Linked DNA regions of Styela clava. The protein of the gene in region 3 purifies or fractionates together with the protein of the main gene of each other region. This does not show direct contact. Links are inferred from orthologs where the notes say so. Each region holds a gene or a part of one and is shown on either strand. Other genes may lie near its edges.

Evidence for each region. The genes of interacting proteins can lie anywhere in the genome.
Region 1: the proteins of E3 ubiquitin-protein ligase NRDP1-like (region 3) and protein CLEC16A-like purify together in Homo sapiens (affinity purification with mass spectrometry; 3 studies listed by BioGRID and IntAct, with this or other methods). This does not show direct contact. The link is inferred for Styela clava from reciprocal best matches to the Homo sapiens genes RNF41 and CLEC16A.
Region 2: the proteins of E3 ubiquitin-protein ligase NRDP1-like (region 3) and calcyclin-binding protein-like purify together in Homo sapiens (affinity purification with mass spectrometry; 4 studies listed by BioGRID and IntAct, with this or other methods). This does not show direct contact. The link is inferred for Styela clava from reciprocal best matches to the Homo sapiens genes RNF41 and CACYBP.

The regions. Positions count from the first base shown.
Region 1 is NC_135262.1:3,770,025-3,777,992, reverse strand, and holds the start of protein CLEC16A-like, read right to left. Parts: upstream 3,114-7,968; 5' UTR 3,026-3,113; coding exon 2,955-3,025; intron 318-2,954; coding exon 189-317; intron 1-188. UniProt on the Homo sapiens protein: Regulator of mitophagy through the upstream regulation of the RNF41/NRDP1-PRKN pathway. Mitophagy is a selective form of autophagy necessary for mitochondrial quality control.
Region 2 is NC_135253.1:9,314,135-9,321,092, reverse strand, and holds calcyclin-binding protein-like, read right to left. Parts: upstream 2,385-6,958; 5' UTR 1,800-2,384; coding exon 1,122-1,799; 3' UTR 614-1,121; downstream 1-613. Other genes in the region: tRNA (guanosine(18)-2'-O)-methyltransferase TARBP1-like, read right to left, coding at 1-578. UniProt on the Homo sapiens protein: May be involved in calcium-dependent ubiquitination and subsequent proteasomal degradation of target proteins. Probably serves as a molecular bridge in ubiquitin E3 complexes. Participates in the ubiquitin-mediated degradation of beta-catenin (CTNNB1).
Region 3 is NC_135254.1:24,427,166-24,433,551, reverse strand, and holds E3 ubiquitin-protein ligase NRDP1-like, read left to right. Parts: upstream 1-4,472; 5' UTR 4,473-4,553; coding exon 4,554-5,513; 3' UTR 5,514-5,863; downstream 5,864-6,386. UniProt on the Homo sapiens protein: Acts as E3 ubiquitin-protein ligase and regulates the degradation of target proteins. Polyubiquitinates MYD88. Negatively regulates MYD88-dependent production of pro-inflammatory cytokines.

The sequences.
Region 1 (7,968 bases), on a different chromosome or scaffold from region 3:
GTAGTGTGAAGACATGTTACCTGACCTATTGAACTCCCGAGTCCTGACTTCTCGTGGAAATTGTGGTCACTATTACCTGATATACCCGAATATATGAGTACACGTTCAGCACAAATGCGAAAAAATAACTCAGTTGCATTTGCTGCAATTGATTCCCTTATTACAAATTTCTGAAACAAAAAACTTACTCAAAAACAGAACTATCATTTTGATCTCCCCAAATTAATATTTCGGACATTGAACGTAATGCTTCGACAATAAGTGCCTTGTTGCCTTCAGTAACAGTGGAATTCTTCGTCAAAATATGATGAAGATATCTGAAAGTGAAAAAAAACTTCCATCTTTTGATTTTATATTCAAGACACAAATTGGCTGATTCACTTATATAATATACCGTGTTTCCCCGAGAATGAAACAATTTTAAGTCTTATTTGAAGGAGCGGAGTTATATTAAAATCATTTTTGAAATTAAGGGTAGGTCTTATTTAGAGCTCGACCGATATATCGGCCAACCGATATATCGGGCCGATATTGCGTGTTTGCCGATATATCATATCGGCCCACTCGGCCGATATATCTTGCCGATATATATCAGCGCTAGTCGCTTTTCCACGTCCTAAAAAATGAGTATTTTTCTCCGGGAAATATCTGCGGCCGAGCGTTTTCTCTTTTTCGCTTCTCTCATTTTGCCTTTCAATAAACAGAGAGTTCTCTTCTATATTTCTCTCTCTTTTATCTCTTCGAGCGGCGCAAAATCCTCGCCTTCGAATATCTTGCGTCCCCAGTCTAGGCTTGCACGTAATCGACAAAAATCAATTCCGTAATTACGGCAAAATCGATTACGTAATGACCCCGTAATTGCGATATTTTTCACACGTTTAAACCTATCATAAAAACCATTTGAATCCACTTCTTTTCCGAATGGGACATTGAAGTTTGGTTTTCATATTACCGACAGTACTACACGCCGGCGACAGATGTTAAAGACAAATACCAAGGAGTGAATTCAAATTAAATTTATTCTGATTTTTATCTTGTTTTATTGTGTTGGCTTTGATTTTCCTTTATCACCTTCGCAAATTAACCGTCCCAATTTCATGCGATCAATTTTATCATTACCGTATTTACCGAAACTGGTATACGGATATATATGAAACGATAGTGGCCTTTCTTCAAAATCGACTTTCGTATTGAATAAAAATTTCGGGTTTTTAGGATATTAATCAACGACAAGCGTATTCTCTCATTTGATTATACCTGCGCCTGCCTCGCGACGAAGACTTGTTATTGCTCCTTTTTTTTACATTATCCGACTTTGCTACCTAGTTAGCATTTTAAAATAATTATTGATGCTGAATTATTGACGATATTCCGATTACCAAGCTTCATTTTATATCAAATCATTTCGCGGCCTAAATGTTTTAAGATTATTTGCGATAAATTTAGATCAAATATTAATTATTTAGCCGGCGATAAATTCTTACCCGCAACTCGTTGTAAATTAATGCTAATAAATTCTATTTTGTTTTTTAATGCGCTGTGATTTGTATTAATAAAAGTGATTGAGTCGGGAAAAGAAAGTAGCCTAGCCTTCTCTCCTTTTGAGCGCTTATAGCGGCGGTAAAATTCGTCTCATGTCTGTTTCAAGGAGAGAAAGAAAAATACGCCTTCCGGAATTACAATCAACTATCACACATTCTTATTTTTCAATATCAGCGCCAAATAAAAAAGATACCAAATCATAAAGACAAAAAAGTCTGTCGGTATTAATTGCGTTACGGTGATAACGCTTATAATAATATCGTTTTGACCGTGAAATCAAACGCTCAAACGGGGTGGCAACGCGTCATGCCGGCTCAAAACGGCTGCGAATACCGGAACTCTAATTTCTTCTACTTGTTAAACTTTCATTTTTTACAATCGACGGAATTGATTGCTTGTAAGGAGCACGTTTCAAACGCGAAAGCGCTCGACCAATAATTACGACTTTACGTAATTTGTAACTTCCCTTCCGTAACTCGAAATAATTCCGTAAATTACGTGCAAGCCTACTCCCACCTACTACTGTATGGATCAAAATGGACTTCTATAAGCTTTTTACTGACTGCCTTTTTTCTGGTGTGCATTAATGTGTGTTCTTATTTGCTGTGAAACTTTTATTAATGATGCAAGCACTGTGTAGGACTGCTTTATTTTTCAACATAAACTTTTAATTGACTGAAACGAAATGTTTCTTTCTATTTGTATTTACTGCTAGTTCAGGTTGTAGATATCGGTATGTCCATATCGGTTATCGGTCACCAGTTGGCCGATATATCGTTATCGGTATCGGTGCCAAAAAGTGATATCGGTCGAGCTCTAGTCTTATTTTCGGGGAAACACGGTGGTACAGATCTAAATACCAAGAATGTCCCAATATTTAGATATATAAAACAAACACATTTGGTAATGAGTGTGTCTGGCATGACGGCATATGAGTAAACTTGTATGTATGTAAGTTTATTCGACGCATAATGGTGAGCAATATAAACATGTTTGTCTAAATAATATGATCCATCGTAAATTGCGTTGGCCGTCACTTGAGCAAAACTCTGTCCTTACAATTACTTTTTTAGTGAGAGATCTTGAACGAAGTTTTTCATAACATCAATTTACAATTCATCATTTGATTACCATGAATTAAGGACACAGTTTTAAGCATTTCTAATTTTGTTTAAAGAGTTTGTTTAAATAATGATGATGGCCGCAATAGGCCAAAAAAGACACATTCAGACATACGTTTGTACATTGTGGTGCATTATGCTAAGGGTTAGAAATATGCTACAGTAGGACGGTAGCTATGTTAGATAACTTACATCAGGCAGTTCTGCAGTTAGAGCATAAGAACATTTTTTGTTTTTTTTTCGGTGAAACATACGCAAACAATGAAACTACAAGGTTTTTAAAAATCATACTTAAGGTGTTCCAAAGAGTGCGGATTCTTTGGAGGTTTCGGTGCCCCCAGCCATCCACGACGCATGGACATAGTGGTGGGTTGACCAGCAGATCCGATGAAGAATTAATGTTAAACTGAACTGTTACTGAATAATAGCATAACCTAAATGCAATTCAAAATAAGGAGTAAAAACTACGAGCAAATACTGAAATATAAATTGCCGAAGCTCAATTTTTAGAAGCAAAAAGAGCGAAATAATGAAATGTTTCAAAGAAATTATCAACGGGTCAACTAACTATTTTACTGGCTTTATAAACGTTATTACATAAAAACTTGGCTCTGACAATAAAGAGACCATACCGGTATCTGATATATACAACGCTAATACTGTAATACCAAGCACGGCCCAGTTAACCCTTATGGCCTGACAAAAACGAGTGTGGGCTGGCGTTCTGACAGTGTTATACGGCAAGTTAAGGCATCCTAAACGCTCACAGATTACGGTACTAAATTACACATATCCACATTTAAATCAGCACCAGAACCTCTCAGAGTCGGCCAACTGATAGCACAAAATGGCTACAATTGCCGGGAAAATGAATCAAAATCAACTGAACGAACAATAATATCTCTAACCAGAGTTGCCAGATATGACGGTAAACAAGCTGAAATTTACCGTCGGATATAAAAAAACAAGAAAATTAAAAACTAAGCTAAGTGCTTGTTCTTTTTATGAATAAAAATGTTGTTATGAATAAACCATACCTGATTTGCACAAATACATCTTGTAAAATAAAAAAATAAACATTATAAAAGCATTACACCAGCAGAAAGCATTACACCAGCAGATACACACATTGTATCTCGATGGCTTCTGATGTTGAAATTCAACAGTTTATCAAAAAGAATTCAACGAGTTGTTTATCACGGAATTAAATGATCATATTATACAGTATATGATTATATAAATTTTAAAAAATTCTACCGTAGAGAGGGACTTTCAATTTAAAGTCAAAATTAGCACACTCGACCGATATCAATATTTCGCGGTAATGATGTTAAATTGAATAATCATATTACATAGTTCTTCTTCTAAAAATTATCAAAAAATGAAAAAATTCTACCGTAGGGAAAGACTTTAAAACGAAACCAGAATCTACCTATGTCTAACGATATCCATATTTCCCGACAACGGTGTTTTGTGTCGAAATACAACATTCAATTGAAAATATTCTAATGATTTGTTTACCATAAAATTAATGTATTATATTATATAGTAAATTATCTTACAAATATCAGAAAATAAAATAATTTTACCGTAGGGAAAGAGTTTATAATAAAACCGGAATCCTACATATGTCTAACGATATCCGTATTTCCCGACAACGGTGTTTGATGTCTAAGAATTTGTTCACCATAAAATAAATGTATTATAATATATAGTGAATTATTTTACAAATATTGAAAAATAAAAAAATTCAACCGTAGGAAAAGACTTTTAAATAAAACCGGAATCTACCTATGTCCAACGATATCCGTATTTCCCGACAACGGTTTTTTACGTCGAAATGCAATATTCTAATAACTTGTTCACCATAAAATTAATGTATTATAATATATAGTAAATTATCTTACAAATATCAAAAAATAAAAAAATCCCACCGTAGGGAAAAACTTTAAAATAAATTACTGTCCGTGTTTTATTCTACATTGTGGATCTCTGTTCTCAGATATGAACTTTATTTAGTCTCGTAAAAGAAGTAGCCTAAAACATGAAACCAGTATGTCGTGTATTTCTTTGAAAGTTACAAAATATAAACCCAATGTCCAATTTCTATCAGCGGTAATGCAGCAGTAGAAGTCTGACTGATATATATAGAATAAGAAAAGTAATCACATGTATTTGTCGGACTGATATTTTTCCGAATAGCGAATCTGTCTGTACATGTTTAAAAGGGTTATTATTGTGTATTTTTGCTTTGAAGTAGCAAAGCATTGTTTTTAATTTTTGTCGGCACGCAAAAAAATTTGTAAAAAAATTTAGCCGATTTTGGCACGCAAGCCGAAAAAGGTACCCACCCCTGTTCTATACCTTGCACAAAATTCACTCCCCCTACGAGGTTCTGGTTGCACCTCTGGTTTCAACCGTTCAAAACTTTGATGTTTGACAAAATTCTCTGAGTAATAAAAGGGTTTTCTGATGGCTCGAAAAGATTACGAATCACTGATTTAAAAGTTGGCTAAATCTTGGCTTCCAAAACTTTTACAGTTCGATCCAAGCCCAGCGCTTCTCTGATTCTATGCAATGTTTTAAAACAGTGGAATTTATACGTTTCATTAGTTTTAATAGTTGTGTTTTGAATCAAAAGTATAAAATTTACATTAGATATTCCGGTAGTACTCTGTGTGTAAAATTCGAGTATTCTGTGCAACCCAAAAACTTCGTTGCTGCGTCTCACCTGCGGTGTCGCAACTTCAGTTTGGGCCAGTTCTGCGCTAAATCGAGTCTTTATCAATTGTTAATATCGGTCTGAGCAATTAAACAGGATTTTCACATGTAACATGCCAAATTCCCTGAAATAGTTGTATTTGTTTGGCTCTAAAGAATGGGTATAGGGCGTTTCAGACTTTTCTGGAGCGCGATAGGACCCCATCTACAAGTCCTAACGAGTGGGTTAACCGACATCTCTTGGGTCCACTTGAAAGCTCGGTAGAATATTCAGACAAATTTTATAGGAAAACTATTTTTTTATACAAATTAGTTTTGATTGTTGAAATATGCAATGTTGTCTATTTTGTTTTGTGGAAAGAAATAAATATTTTTTCATAAAAAATGTTTTTGTTTTTTTTATTTTCGAATTTGACAGTATCTATATCAGAGGGTTTTCAACCTGGGTTTCGCGAACCCCCAGGGGTTCACGAGAAGATTTACGGGGGTACGTGGATGACAGTCGAGTTTTTGTATGTTGCTGTTTTTTAATATCCTTCATTACTACTATGGGAAAACTCGTGCCCATTGAAACTAGACGCCAATTGAAACGTAGATTTGCCCTGATTTTGCGTTGTTGTGATTATGACGCAACAATGTGAAATTTAAGGCTTTGTGTACAAACTGTGAAATCTCTAAAGACAGCGTGCTGCGAGCATTGGACAGGTGATTATGCTTATTGTAACTTGGGAGAGGTTTCAAGAACTCATAAGTGAGGCAGACGAAAAGGGCAATAATATCAACAAGAGGATTCAATTTAGTTACATATGGTCAAAAAGGGGGGGGGGGGGTACTTGACAGAAAAAAAGGTTGAGAACCCCTCATCTATATCGAGATGACAGAGATCAATTTGGGTTATCGTTAAATTACGTATTCCTTCCCAAGTTGAACTGTCCGTATTAGTCAGGGAGAACCACAGAAATTTCTGTAGACGACCCACTTGACATTGATTTGCTCCGTATTGGCGTGAAAGACTGTAGAGAGATGCATCGTACGCGCAATTTACAGCGTGTAATATTTAATGTCTGCGGGAGTATCTTCAAACGAGCATCGCCACACCAATTTCAACACTTTTTGGAGGTGTTTTATAACTTTAGAAATTGTGAACCAGACTTAACACGGTCAGTTTGCAAATAAGATAGAATGAATCTTATTGATGAATCGAATGAGCTTTTATCATATAAATTTGGAATTGTTACGAATGTTAGATTCTTGATTCGGGGGAAATTTTGAAATGTTCAAATTTACAAGTGGTCTATTCTGAGACCCGAATTTGGCATCAACCAAGTAGCATAGGTTGAAGATTTTGCCAAGTTGGGATTTTCCAGTAACGGATTGCATATTAATGCAAATTTGTGTTCCAAACAACCCTAATGGTATGATGTACTACATATTTACTATTGTATTTTTTAATAATAAAATTTATTCCTTCTTGATCGGAAAGACATGTTGTTGTAGTTTGAAAATTGTGAAAATCCATGTTTGCCATCTATGTAAAATTAGTAACCCCGTAGTTTGTGTACAAGGTTAGGATAATAATTTTATTCCGTTCTCAATTCAATTACGAGTTCGGGACTGTCTGTGTTAGCCAAGCAAGTATACCCTCTGCCCATAGGCTTCCGTCCCTTTACACAACTTGATGTAAAGTAGACAAACAAAATTAGGTATAGGTATTACTTATCGATCTTGATCGGTAAGTATGTTGATAGGTATTTGTCTGCATGTTAGACACTTTCGTATGTCACGCAATATCTCACGAAAGAAGGTTGAATCTGCTCCAAATTTTGCATGTGCATTTATCATATCTTGGACCAGATTCCTATTGATTTTGGATTACTTATGTTGTATAATTAGCGAGTTATAAAATATTTAATTAATAATTTTTGTTTCTCCTTATAATTAGCGAGTTATTAATTAATCAATTAGTTTTTTTTTGCGGATGATCGATAAGGATTCGGTCTCCGACCGATATTCAAGTCTGGATATTGGTACACACACTGGAGCGCCGTTGAATTTGACGAAATATGACTTCAACAGCGGATAACACATAGATGCAAAATTTGGTTCACTACATTTCAAATTGTGTGATGAAGAGTGCATATCGTCACGCTAATAACCGAATCGCGTAAGTCATTTTTAGCAGTTTTGAGAAAAACGTAAAAAACTTCCTAATGATATTGTTATGCCATTGAGAGTCAATAATTTGCCATGGTTCAATTTTTTGATCGTAGCCGGATTTAAGGTAATTTGTATGACGCATTTAAGTGACGTCATAATGGCGCACTGTGACTTAGGCAGAAATGTGTCTATGACTTGGGGACGTACGCAATTGTGCAACTTTTCTATATGCACCAGTCCTGAAAACTAAACATTCCAAAATTGAATGTAATTCTGAGTATCTACAATGTCTAATCCCCAAAATAGCTAATCATATTTAATTACATTATTTTTTATGTTTAAAAATATATATTTTATCAATATAACACGTTCTACACACCCACCGAAATAAGACTAAGATTAAATATAAAGAATAAAACAGCAATCC
Region 2 (6,958 bases), on a different chromosome or scaffold from region 3:
CCACATCGCACGATAATACCATTTTCTAATAAATTCTCATCACATGTGATAAAAATATCACATAATTTATTAAACAGTACTTTTTTCAGATCAGCAATGATAATTTCATTATTCGTAAGTAAGCCTTCAAAAATACTGAAAATGTTTTTCGTTTTGAAGTTTGATTCTTTTTCCTCCACAGCAGTAGCGAAGATGTTTTCTAAGATGGTGCAGCATCTTTTTTGATATTCTTCATTAAATATTTGCACACATATGATAAAAAAATGTTCTAGACATTCAGATGTATCCATTCCATCTTGTGTATATTTTTCTATTGCAGTTTTCCACAAATCAAATAGAGTATTCTGTTGTAAGCGAAGGTGATCATAGGCTGGATCGGCTTCTGCGTTATCCTTGTAATTATATTCCAATAATGCAGTTAAAACTTGCAGTTTCTCCAAATATTTCTCCTCAAATCTGAATTGGTCTTGTTTCAATAATCTATTCAAACTATCTGAAAGGTCCAATGTGATTTTTTCCACTGACAAATCTGATACAGCACTCAGCAAAGGAAGTATATTCCGAATTGAATTCGACATTTTATACAATTCTAGTTATCAACAACTCTGAGTACCTAATAAAATTCAAAATTAAGAAACTCAATGAGAATGATAGTGGGTAATTCAAGTGGTATTTGTACTGTATAACATGAACACAAATGGTGGAAATTAAAATTAAGGGAACGCAAAAATGTATTTTCAAGCAACATATAGCCAAAAGTTATCCTCGAACCTAAGCCAGGGCCACATCAACCTATTTGCATGCAAATAACAGAACAACAAAAACGCCAAAAGATGCCAAGGTATCAGTAAATATCAATCAGTATTATAGCACAATAAATAAACAATAGTTACAGCCAAATATACAAGTTGAATTTCCATATATTTGAAACATAATTATTATATAGAATATCCACAATATCTATGTCAAATGCCTATTTGTTACGATATTAAAATCTAATCACTGAATGTATGAAAATTAGTCGTGACAAATGAAACAGTACACAAATGCGTTATCCTAGTGAATTTCTCGGGCTATTTCAAGACAATCTATCAAGAAAATTTTTAAAATCAACAATATGTTCACTTTCCAAACCCTGGAATTTGGTTATCTCTTGATTCTGTCCAAGCCTTCGCCATTGTTCGTTTGAAGTCATCGTCTCCTTCGTCGTACATTTTTTTCATCATATCCATAATTCCTTTTCCTGGATCTTGGTCTTTATCAAAACTTGATGGTGGTTTTACTTTTTCCTCTATTTCTTTTTTCTCTTTTTCTGACAAAGTATCCCATTTTGTGGGATTAGTCTTTTTTAACATTATCACAACTTCATCCTTCTTTATTCTGACACTTTCATTTTCAACACCGTGGAGCAATTTCGGCAAAGTGAGTTGATGATTTGCATTGTTTAAATTTTTTATCATAAGCATATGATGATGGCCGTCGTAAATTATGGTCACATTTTCTTTTGGTATATCCTGTACTCCCTTCAATCCAGATACGTAAATTTTTATGAACTTTTCTGATTGATCCCAACCATAAGTAGTGATCTTCTTGGTGAAAAGCTTAGGTTTTGTGGATGAATTAGATTGTCGTTGGACGTCTTCGGTATTGCTACCCTGCTTCATTATTTTTTCCAGTTCTTGTTCCATTTCGGATTTCCATATTGCAAGTTTTCCTTTTATTGTCTCTCTCTGTGCGATAGACTGAAGCCGGATAACATCCTCCAGGTCTAGTTTCAGTTCATTTAGGCGAGCCTCCATTTCCCTACGATTATATACATACAGTCAAAATATATATTACGAGTTGGGACAGTTACAACCCGCGCAAGTGCGAAAGCGTACAATGTAGTCAAACACACGTGCGATGTACGGGGAATTCCCTGATCGCTCTTTCGGTCAATATACCGTATTTGCTCATTTTGTACCCCGTGCCCATATGTTTCAACCAACTCACTAACCGGGCCCTCATTCAAGCACGGGCGCTTGTTATTTTCGATCGTTACAAATAACTAATATATTATTATTTCCAGTTTTCAAGTATGATTTAAACAAGAATAACGAAAATTTTGACTTTTTCTACGCACCGCAGGTACAAATCCGCAAAAGAAGAAAAGTTTTGCCACGCCCTATCAATATTGAAACGACGCACTTGTCGCGACGCCCAGTTTGAGAACCATAGTGTTACGTAACCAATGCTATCTGTTATGTACTTGGACGCCTAAGGCGTGAGTGTTATCTACCGGCGCTTAAAATCCAACAGTGTTGAGACAAAAGCGCTTCTTATTTCCTATTGTTCTCTACTACTGAAAATTCAGCTTCGGCCCTTCAAGCACCCGCCCTTATTTATTTTTATGTTCTGTTCACACGGGTGGCTTTTCAAAAGGGCCCTTAATCAAGATCGGGCGGTAAAACGAGCATATACGGTAATCGCAGGAACTACGATTTAATATACTGTGGTTTTTGCAGTCGATACAAAAATCTGTGCAATTTAGATAAAAATAAGATAGATAAGTTTATTTCGACTCCATAATCAGCATAAACGGTTGATAAAAACAAATAAATAAAAATTGATTATGAAATTTAGAGAGTTGTTTTTAGCACACGTGCATAAATTATTTTGACGCCTATTTTTTTCACACTTTGCCCAACCCAAGAACTGATTTGGGGACTGGAAGTTGATCCATCAATTTAACCCACAAAACACAACCATCAAGAACCCATCCATGGCCAATAACTAGGTGGGAGAATGAGTGGCCTTGGTTCTAGGCAACCTTGATGAAGTCTTGCCTGGTAATTTGCCCCCAGAACATGCTTCTTCACTGAATCATTGCTGGGTGGAAGAGTATAATCTATATTCTATATGTTTGCTAGTTTTGAAAAGACGTGTATCATTTACATTTTTTATATCCTCTCCATACACTGAACAAACAAATTCCTCAGTTTTATTTATTAATGCTTCGTTAATCTCAAAATATCGTCATAGTTGAAAAAATATATGATAGGATAAGTTTATTTCGACTCCATAATCAGGATAAAGGCGATGAAACGGTAGATAAAAACAAATAAATAAAAACTGATTATGAAATCAGGAAAGTAAACAAAATCTTGGATAAATGAATTGAAAAACTCAATGGTCCGGTTACCATTCCAAATCGGGTATGGGATTTGTTATATTGTTTGTTTTCGGAAGCATGGACTCGGTGGTGGAAGAAGCCGTAACCGAGCAGCGGTTACGTGAACCACCCAACGACGGCGAGGAGTCCAGCAATCCCTGCATGGGATTCGAACCTGCTAACCCACACAGAGTAATTAGAGGTGCGGTGGCGAGCGTAATCCTAACGCTTAGCCCGTTAAGCCACACCGCCGCGCCAAATCCGCTCATTGTGGCAAATAAATTAGCACTACTTAAACGGCAAACTCCTAATACGGAATAAATTGTAAACAGCCGACTGACTGGCAATGATTCGAAATAATAAACGAACAAAAACGAGAGAAAAAGAAAAGGCCGATAACAGACTTAGTTTACGCCGACATGCCCATTCCTGCCCACGAACAGATGGTGAAATCGCCTTGAAAGGAGTAATTGGACACGTAGTGGACATAACGATCGTTTCAATATTATGTTGTTGTTGTTGTTCTTGTTTTTTGACACGTTTTTAAAAAGTCGCTTTTTTCCTCGAATACTGGACCAATTGCTTTGAAATTTTCAGTGGTTGAAGATAAAAATTTTCTCCAGAAGGCTATTACTTTTTTTTTCTCGCTATGACGTCATCAAAATTATGTGACTCCACGTGTCCATATATTTGAGCATAGCTCTCTTGTTTCATAAACGGTCATTCGACAAAGTGCAATGACCGATATATCTCGAGATAACCCCGGGTCAAATATATATGAAGTAAAACAAAGAAACTTCGTCTGTAACAAAGTTATTTGCAACTGTTATCTTCTCATATACCTTTACGCTTTTCTTCAAGACCTTTTGTTCGATCCATTTTATTCTCACAGGTAGGCCTATAGCGCTAATAGAAGCAGGGATTAGACATTTGCCGGGGAACATTGCCGTTTTCTTTTGTAGTAAAGTATCTAAAATAGGGAAGAAAATCATTTTTGGAACAGCATGAGTGTAAAATACCAATAAATACTGACTAATACTTCTCATACATAGTGCATTTTATCTGATGTACTACAGTCCAGCAGCGTTTGCATACTGGACTATATCTACACTGAATCTCGATATATCACAGTCTGAAATGCCCTATGGCCTATAGAGTAGATTATATTTTAAAACATCAATTGTCGGTCTATAATTTGATTTCTCACCTCTCATTCGCTTCCAATGCTACCTTTCTTTCTCCGGCATAACTTATCATTACTTCCCAATCCCAGGTTCTTGTCGACTCTGTGGATTTAGACCAACTGACATCAGTAGAATTGATTATTACACCTCTTTCACACAAACGTACACTACAGAAACAGCCATTATTTTCTGAATCAAATATTCCGTAGCCTATATAGTAGTATAAGTCTGCTGAATAGTCAAGAAACGTTATTAAATTTATCATAAACCTTTCATACAAGCATGAAAATATCGTTGTTTGTGACATATTGTAGGCATAGCTTATCTTGGGAGTTATCGTACCGTACCTATTTAACAACGTTTATGAGCTAGTGCTCAACTAAAATTGCTATTTATGGTAAGGATAGGCCTATACAAATGTTTAATAGCTTATTAGACTTTTTAACATCTTCTTAGAATAACTCAACTAATATTAACTGGAAATAACAATGGAAAGGCTGCCCAACTCAACAGCGAGCAGCACATCTGATATTTATCCGACGGGGATCCACCTACAGCTGACCAATTTTAATTGTTACGTCATGCAGAAGTCTGCGTTCATTGGCCCATGATACCAGAAAAGCAGAGAATACCGTATATGACAGATGGTAACACATATTTATTGAAGTAAAAGCGTCTTTTCCGTAAAACGTGCAACTCTTGGAAATGGGAAGTCATTATTTGTTACTAAATTTCTAAGGAACATTTTAAAATCTTTTTCAGGAAGTTCCTTATGTGCGCTACGAAACTGAAAGATAAACGGCCTCGTCTCGCGGCCTAATAGCGTCTCATCGTGGTTAGCTGTGTTTGGGTTAAATAAATTGGCAGTTACTAATTTTAAAAATCTCAAAGATGATTCAAAACACAGTGCGTTTTAAATATTTGCAGTATTAGTATTTATTCGGGGTTCCTATTAGGCCGCGATCGCAAACGCCAGTCGTCACGTTCTGGGGTGAAATCTGGGGTAAATATACATGCGCCAGTTTACCCACATTGAACACACGAACATATATTCAAAAGAAGAGAGCTGTGCTCAAAAATATGGACATGTCACAAGGTGTCGCTTTTTTTATTCTGACACATAAAAAACAAATCTCTTGAAGTCCGCAGAAATTTTTGAATTAAGTAAAAGTGATAGCCTTCCGACAAAAAAATCAATCTTTAACCACTGAAAATTTCAATGCAATTGGTCCTGTATTCGAAGAGAAAAGCGATTTCATCATGACGAAAGAAAAGAAAACTACAAATAAGAACAACAACATAATATTAAAACGATCGTTATGTACACAAAAGTGTCAAAAAAAAAAAAAAGACAAAAACATAAAACGCTATCGTTCGGGCGCCAAACTAGTGTAACATAAACACTCGGTGGGCCCTAACTAATAAATACACTTTGACAGGTTGGAATGCATGGCTATGGTATGTGTATCACAACAGTGCTTTTCCCAAAAGAATATGAAAAAAAAACACTCGTTGACGTATGGTTTGAACATTTGACTGATTTATCTTGGTACTACTTACTTTTGGTGTGTTAACGTATGGTTCACTGCATCGCGATTATTGGCTGATTAATTGATTACTTCTTGTTATGGTTAACTGTTTAGGGCTTTAGTCTGTCTTTAGATTTATTCTCAAAAGCTTGTTAATGGTACTATAGTCATTGGGTATGAATAATCTATTTCTTAAGTTTCTTACATTGGGATAATCTGTTCTGACAAAGCCTCATTTAAATGTAAGTGAATTGGTATATTCTTGCTTTGTATTGTGCCGGGTTGCCTGTACTCATTTTAATATAAATCTTTGTTTGTCAGGTCACTTTGTCTTACTGATATCTGGATTAAATCACTTTGGGAGAAATATATTCGTTTCATTTCGGGATATTAGTTAAAGAAACATAGTAGGCAAGGGTGATTTGTCAATGGGCAGAAATCCAAACTAGTGACATTTAAAGATATTGCACCTACACCTACAAACTGGAGTCTGAATCAAGCAGTTCTTTTTCAACCTTCCGAGGATTCAGCAATACATCAAAGCAAGAATGCCAACTAACAATGGCAGAATATTTTCAAGGTCAGAATTTCAAATAACTCAAGAGTAAGTTTCCGGTACTCAAAGTAAAATTGGAAAGAATTTTAACACCATTGAGCACTCTCTGGAAAGAAGAGATTTTAAAAAGGTCAAAATACTGTTTCATGATGCTAACGATAAAATAGCATTTTTGGTCTGTCTAATTGATACTTTGGAATTGGCTCTAATTGAAGAAGACAGTACTACACAAAGTGAGGAAAAACCCGGTATATCCAAATTTAGTGAAGAAATTTTAAGTGTGGAAAACAAGATTGCAATCGATTTTGAGAAATATGAAGACAAACTAGATATAAAGCCGGTGATATCATCTCTTGTAATCACTCAAAACAATTATAATAATGATCCTCATATGATTAAGTTATGTGGTATGGATCCGCCATGCTGGAACGGACAAAAAGTAGACTTTTATACCTGGAAAGAACGTTTTACACATATAATGCACCATGCTAGAATTACGGATGATTTAGTGCAAATTTCATGGCTTTTACGCAATGGT
Region 3 (6,386 bases):
GCGAGTGGAAGATAAAAGAGAGAATACGATATACAATGAGCAACCGGGGCAAAATCGGCGTCGCCCCGTCGACGTTCGGCGAAGGCTTTGCGAGCGAAAAATGAACCATGTCGGGACAATATGGCTAGTGTAGACAGTCTGTGCAACCGATATTGAGGTATTTTTCGAATATTTTTTATTATACCGAAAAAACAACCGGGGCATTGCCCCGGTTGGCCCTATTGACGCGCCGCCACTGCAAATTGGTGTACTGTGCGCATTCACAAATCTTTGCGAATCAAGTGTGCCTTTTGACTAAAGAAAATTTAGCATTGAAATGGTCAATCTCAATATCAACCTAGTATCTGCATATAAAACCAATTATATATTTGGTACCATGAATACCATTTGCAAATTAGCTTGGGTTACACAACTCTCAAATAAAGGGGTAGGCCTACCAATATAGTTTGTCATCTGCTTTCCATTAAAATGAAGGAGTTTATAAATATACTTAAGGAAAATTGATAACGGCACATTATCACTCACTATCAACGAAGTCTGGAAGACTTGTCCGCAAACAGTGAAACACAAGCGAGATGACTTCTGGACTTGACACCAAGCAGTCCTGCCAATAGATGATATCCACATTGCGCGACGTTCCGGATCTTTTGAAAACAGTGGAATATAACTGAAGATCCATTTCGAAAAATACGAAATAACCATTTTCAACAGCCAGACAAAACGGAAACGTATAATCCGACTTGCAACTGACAGGAGCCAAATGGACTTTTTTTTTTTTTGCCGTCCAGTAAACAAAGTCACGTGACCCGTGCAAGTCCTCTATAAACCTGTACTTTATATTCAGATGGGAGTTTGTTAGTCTAAAAGTCATTCGAGGGGGCTTTGCCAGAAAAAGTTTGGAAACACTTGTCCGCAGTTTACATTGATATCGAACAATTCGGGGATTGGGGACTTGCAAATTTCATCCCAAGTTGCAAATTTTACGAGTATTGACACTTACAAATTGATTTACATTTAAAAAAATGTAAAAATTACTTTTGATAAAAAAACAACGTGGCACTTGCAGTTACTAATAGCTAATTTGAGTCTGTGGGTCTATCTCAGTTTTTCTGGGACTAATTTTTTATTTATTTTTCAACTGAACTACTCTCATCGGAAGACATAATGACAATTAGAAAACACTTTATTTACAACTATTTTTTGGAAACAACTGAAAGCTGACAAATAATACGCGAAGCCGCGATAACGAGACATTGTTTACAACCATGTTTGAATCCGGTATCTGTCTGGTGCAACGACTAACATACGGGTCTGGTGAGTGAGTGAAGTCAATTGTTACGTCGTTGTTGACTTTTTGCTAATCAGCATGGTCATTGTTACAAAACCAAAACAAGGAAATCGATGCTTGGTGAAACGTTATCATTCTCTTTAGTGAAACAGCCAAGCTATTTTTCTCGTTGTAACCAAAGTGACGATCGCGATATCAGAAAGATCGCTGGCTTTGATAAATTATGTACATAGTTTTAATATTTCTTTACTAATTAAATACCTAATATCTGACCCCAAAGTTGTTCCGTTTGTAATTAGGTTTGTGCGCCGCTCGGCTGATATACATCTGTAATTTTTCCGCGTTTCTTGTTTTTTTTACATAAATTCCTTAATATCATGGCTCGGCTTACAGGCAAGCTTACGTCTGTACCGGTGTGGGCATGTGTTGTCTAGAACAGAAGTGTGCAACCTTTAATACAGAAGAGCCAGATACTTAACAAAGACTTTCTAGTAGTTGTAGGCAAAAAACATGATTATGTCATTGCTATGGCTCCCTGAACAAATTCAGTGAGAAATTTGCAAGTGGTTTCTTTTCGGAATCCTTTTTTTAAATTTGCTTTGAGGGGCTAGAAGCTAGCAGTTCCAAGTTCGTTTTTCAAGTAGGCTACCGGTATTAGTCCGTCAGAACGGATCAATAGGTGGGTTTCATGACAACCAATTTAGAAAATAACTGTTCACACTAATCTGATGACTAATATCAGAATATGTTGAGTCAAATACTGAAATAGTGCCGTTTTCAAAGCCATGAGTTCTTTAAATGTCAGAAGTGCAGAATGTGGTAAGTTATATTGGTTGGGATGTTTTCAGTAAAAATCGCCAAGATTCATTTGGAAATATTTTCTGACTTTGCTGTCAAATCTGTCTAATTTTAGACTAGATTCAGACAAATTTGACTGAAATGCTGAAACCAAAACTCATTTGAATTTAACTCCTGTTGCCCGTTTTTACTAATTTATTAGAGTGTGCTCTGTACTTTACTTAAATTTCTTGCTTGCTCATCGCTGCATCGGGTGACACATTCGTGAATCTCATTGTTTGCTTCGCGCAAGCTAGCTGTTATTGTCTACCTGTATACAGTACCGGTTAGGGCATTGGCAATGCACAGTTGTACTGTCATAAGCATAGATATTAATATATGAACTTCATAGCATAACAAACCAGAACCAGATTAAACCAAATTAAAAATTCGCTCGATGGGCCGAACACCATTTGAAATTGGCACTTATTCGCAGACTGCATCATTTTTCCTTGTGGCCCGCAGAGTTTGCACACCCCTGGTCCAGTCTGGTGCACATTAGAAGCGCCATAACCTATAATAATTGATGAGCTTATTATCTTCGACGTAGATGCTATTTTGAGTGATCATAGCTACACTTTGATGGGCTATATGACGTGGCGTTTAGTGCAGTAGTGACTTATTTTTTTGGATGACATAGTCAGGTGTTGGTTAGGAATATTATATATGTGAAAATGGTTATGACAAGCCCACTAGAAGTACTTGTGGTATCAAACTACACTAGACCCTTATCTTATGCAAGACTTGTCAGTTATTTAAATTGGTCGATTTGATAATAGGATCGGCTACAAGCCCTAGTCCATTATCCAAGCCCATTATCTAGCATGCATGCATCACAGTACTGTTACTGTGTTATGTCTGTATGTTGTTTACACCAATATCAGAATATGGAGAGGCAGCTGGACATACTGAGGGGATGTTTATGTATCATTATAATGTATGTCCTTAAGTCTGTTGTGAAGTATTTCATACTTGATTCCAAAACCAAATGATTAGACTATTGAAATACTTGCTAAATTAGGTAGCTATATATGATATCGTTAATTTTAATAATTTCTGACAACTGTGGTAAACTAACTAAAACAATCTATCCCAACTCAATATCCATCAGCATATACAACACTTCGGCTGGATTTTTTTAAACACGACCCAATTTTAGTTGGTTAGCGGTTAGCGCATTGTTTCCCAAACTTTTTGAGCTGCGGACCCCTGTTTTAGAATCTAATTTTTGACGGACCCCCCATTCTATGCCGTATCAATTCCTGTGCCTAACCAACGAGGAATGGTAGCGTTTCATATACATCACAATAACACTAACGATAATAAAGTGTTGGATGAGATTGCTTCCGACTGCACAATTTATCAATTGTTTTAGCAATTTATGATAAGCACACGTAAGTCCGACTCGACAGCAAGTCTCTACCTGCATTTTGTCATCGAATTGGTTAAGATGAAAACGCTGCCTCAAACCTGTAGGTTTGTTCTCTAATTGCCCTTTCTGGCAGCAATTTCTTGCGCAACGTTCCAACAAAAATATGCAATGGCTTTAAATCAGTGGTTGAAGATTGATCAGACTCTTAATATAGTCGCGGATCCCCTGTGCAGTCATCATGAACCCCCAGCAGATCCCAGTTTGGGGAACCCTGGGTTAGTGGTTATGATTTATTTTGACCGTCCACTGACATCTCTGGTACAAATCACACTTATAGTGTACAATTTCTTTAAAATTGGTTAGTTTTTTGCAAATTATCTCCCATGGCATTTAATTCAAAAGAATATATAACTCAATTGGTGGGGAAAATAATTCAAGTGCAAGTGCTAACGTTCTGACTTGACTTGATGCTTGGTGAATTGTCAAAAGTCAGCCGAGATGCGCGGTAAGCTCCGAAATCCCCTTTTGAGTTCCACAACATATTTGGCTCGAATTTGTTGGTTGACTACCGAGGTATACATATGTATCCAAATTTTGGATAGATTTGCAATGACTTATAAATAATAAGACAAATAATAAGCCATTGCACAGGGGTATTTTGAGCCACTGGAATGTCTTATTTGACTTCCATTCCACAAATAAGGTTGAAAACCACTGTAGTAAGATGCTGGTATATGTAATGGCGAGCTTAGACCAGATTGTAGTGAGGTTGAAGAGAGTATTCTATGGGAGCTTCTGTGAAACCTCGCTACAACTACCAAAGTGCTCGTCACCTTGTTTTGATGCCGATGCTTAATCCTTTGCATATCCAAAAACACCAATAGTGATAGTGAACCAATAGTGATAGGTCAAACTCCATGTGATCTTTAGTATTATCTATGTGTTCCCTCAGTGATCCCCTTTCTGTTTACATTTTTCTTTTTACCTCTACAGAGCATCAATATAATATAACAATGGACTTATTTTAAACGCCTGCTTTACAAAAGCACTGTCAAAATGGGATTTGATCTGATGAGGTTCAGTGGTAGAGTTGATGAAGAGTTAATGTGTGTGATATGTGGTGGCGTTCTTGAAGATCCTGTGATGGTGGAAGAATGTGAGCATTGTTTCTGCAAATGTTGTATAGAGGCTTGGTTGCAGAGACAACAAACATGTCCTGTAGATCGTAGTCAACTGCAAACCCAACATTTGAAACCTGTTCCAAGGATAATGAGGAATATGTTAGGTCGACTGACTCTGATGTGTGAAAATAGAAAGTATGGTTGTGCCACAATCGTACGTCTTGATCAGTTATTGTCACATCAAACTGAATGTGATTTTAATCCAAAAAAACCTATACAATGTACTCGTGGTTGTGGCGTAGTTGTTCCAAAAGACGAAATGTCTGACCACAATTGTATCAGAGAATTGCGTTGTCTTGTCAACAAACAAAAAATTGAGATCAATGATCTAAATTTGCATAAGGTTGAAGCTAATAAGCAAATATCTGAACTGAAACATGAAGTATCTCTTTTAAAAGAGTACATTAAAGCCTTGAAAATACCAACTAATCCAAGCTTACAAATCATACAGCAACGAATGGAGCAAGATGATGTCATACGGTGGGGCAGTTCACTTACACTTGCGAGGGTCACCCGCTGGGGTGGGGTGATTTCTACTCCAGATGTAGTTTTACAAACAGTTATTAAACGAGCTCTAATTGATACTCAATGCCCATTACACATTGTTAATGATTTGATGGAAAATGCACATGAGAGGAGATGGCCTGTTGGCTTGAGCACTCTAGAAACTAGACAACTCCACCGTCGTCAATACGAGGATTATGTCACAAAAAGAATTCCGGGAAAGCAGGCTATTGTGATTTTGCAATGTGAAAATAATCATATGGGAGACGATATGATTTTACATCCAGGAATTGTTATTATTTTTGCCCATGGTGTTGTGGACGTAACGTAAATATATGTGTTATTATTATTTTTTTCATTGGTCTTGTAGCGTTTTTCGCAATCAATAGTATTTCCAAAACACAGCTTCATTATTATCGGAATGAATTTAGTTCATATTGCTTATTTTCCCAAACGACTCGTAGTTTTTCTGATCACAATAATGTTGTTTTTATCTTGGTTGCAGAGAGTTGCATCTGATCGTTTTGCATCCGTTACGACGCCGTGCCATAGTAATGACGATTAATGTTATTCATTTACTGATTGATTCGTGTTAGCTTTAATGTCTCGCTGACTTTGTTACTTCTAATTTTTGCATCGTTTTAGTCAGTGGTAAGAAAATATATCGATGTTGTTATATTATAGTGTGCGGTTACAAATTATGCAGGGGCGATGTGGACCAAAACAGGTATGTGTGGATGTGGAGTACTATATTTTGAACGGGTGGAGGCTAACTCGCCATGAGGGCTAACTCGCCATGGACCACTCGCCATGCGACGGCGGTTAACGGGTTAGCCTGCAACTGTGCGGAGGCTCTTCTTGTAATGGGAGATGGAAAGGTGGCTGTTTATACTAACAACTTCAATAGTAAAGATAAATATATTAAATTAAATGTGTTTGGTTACAATATCTACTGTGCAAATGGTAACAAAGTGACAAGAAAACGTGCTTATATGTCGGAAGGCACCGTACCGTACGGTACTCGACGCGCAAAGGATGTCTCAACTTATCATTTTCATCTAAGCATGCTAAATATATCATCATATTAATTGATTGTATGAGCACTGAATCAACAACAACGCTAAATATATCAAAAGTTCTATTTTGCTACCGGCAGTCTCATTTTATTCCAACAGCCGTTGATTGCGATCAGAGAGGGAGAGAG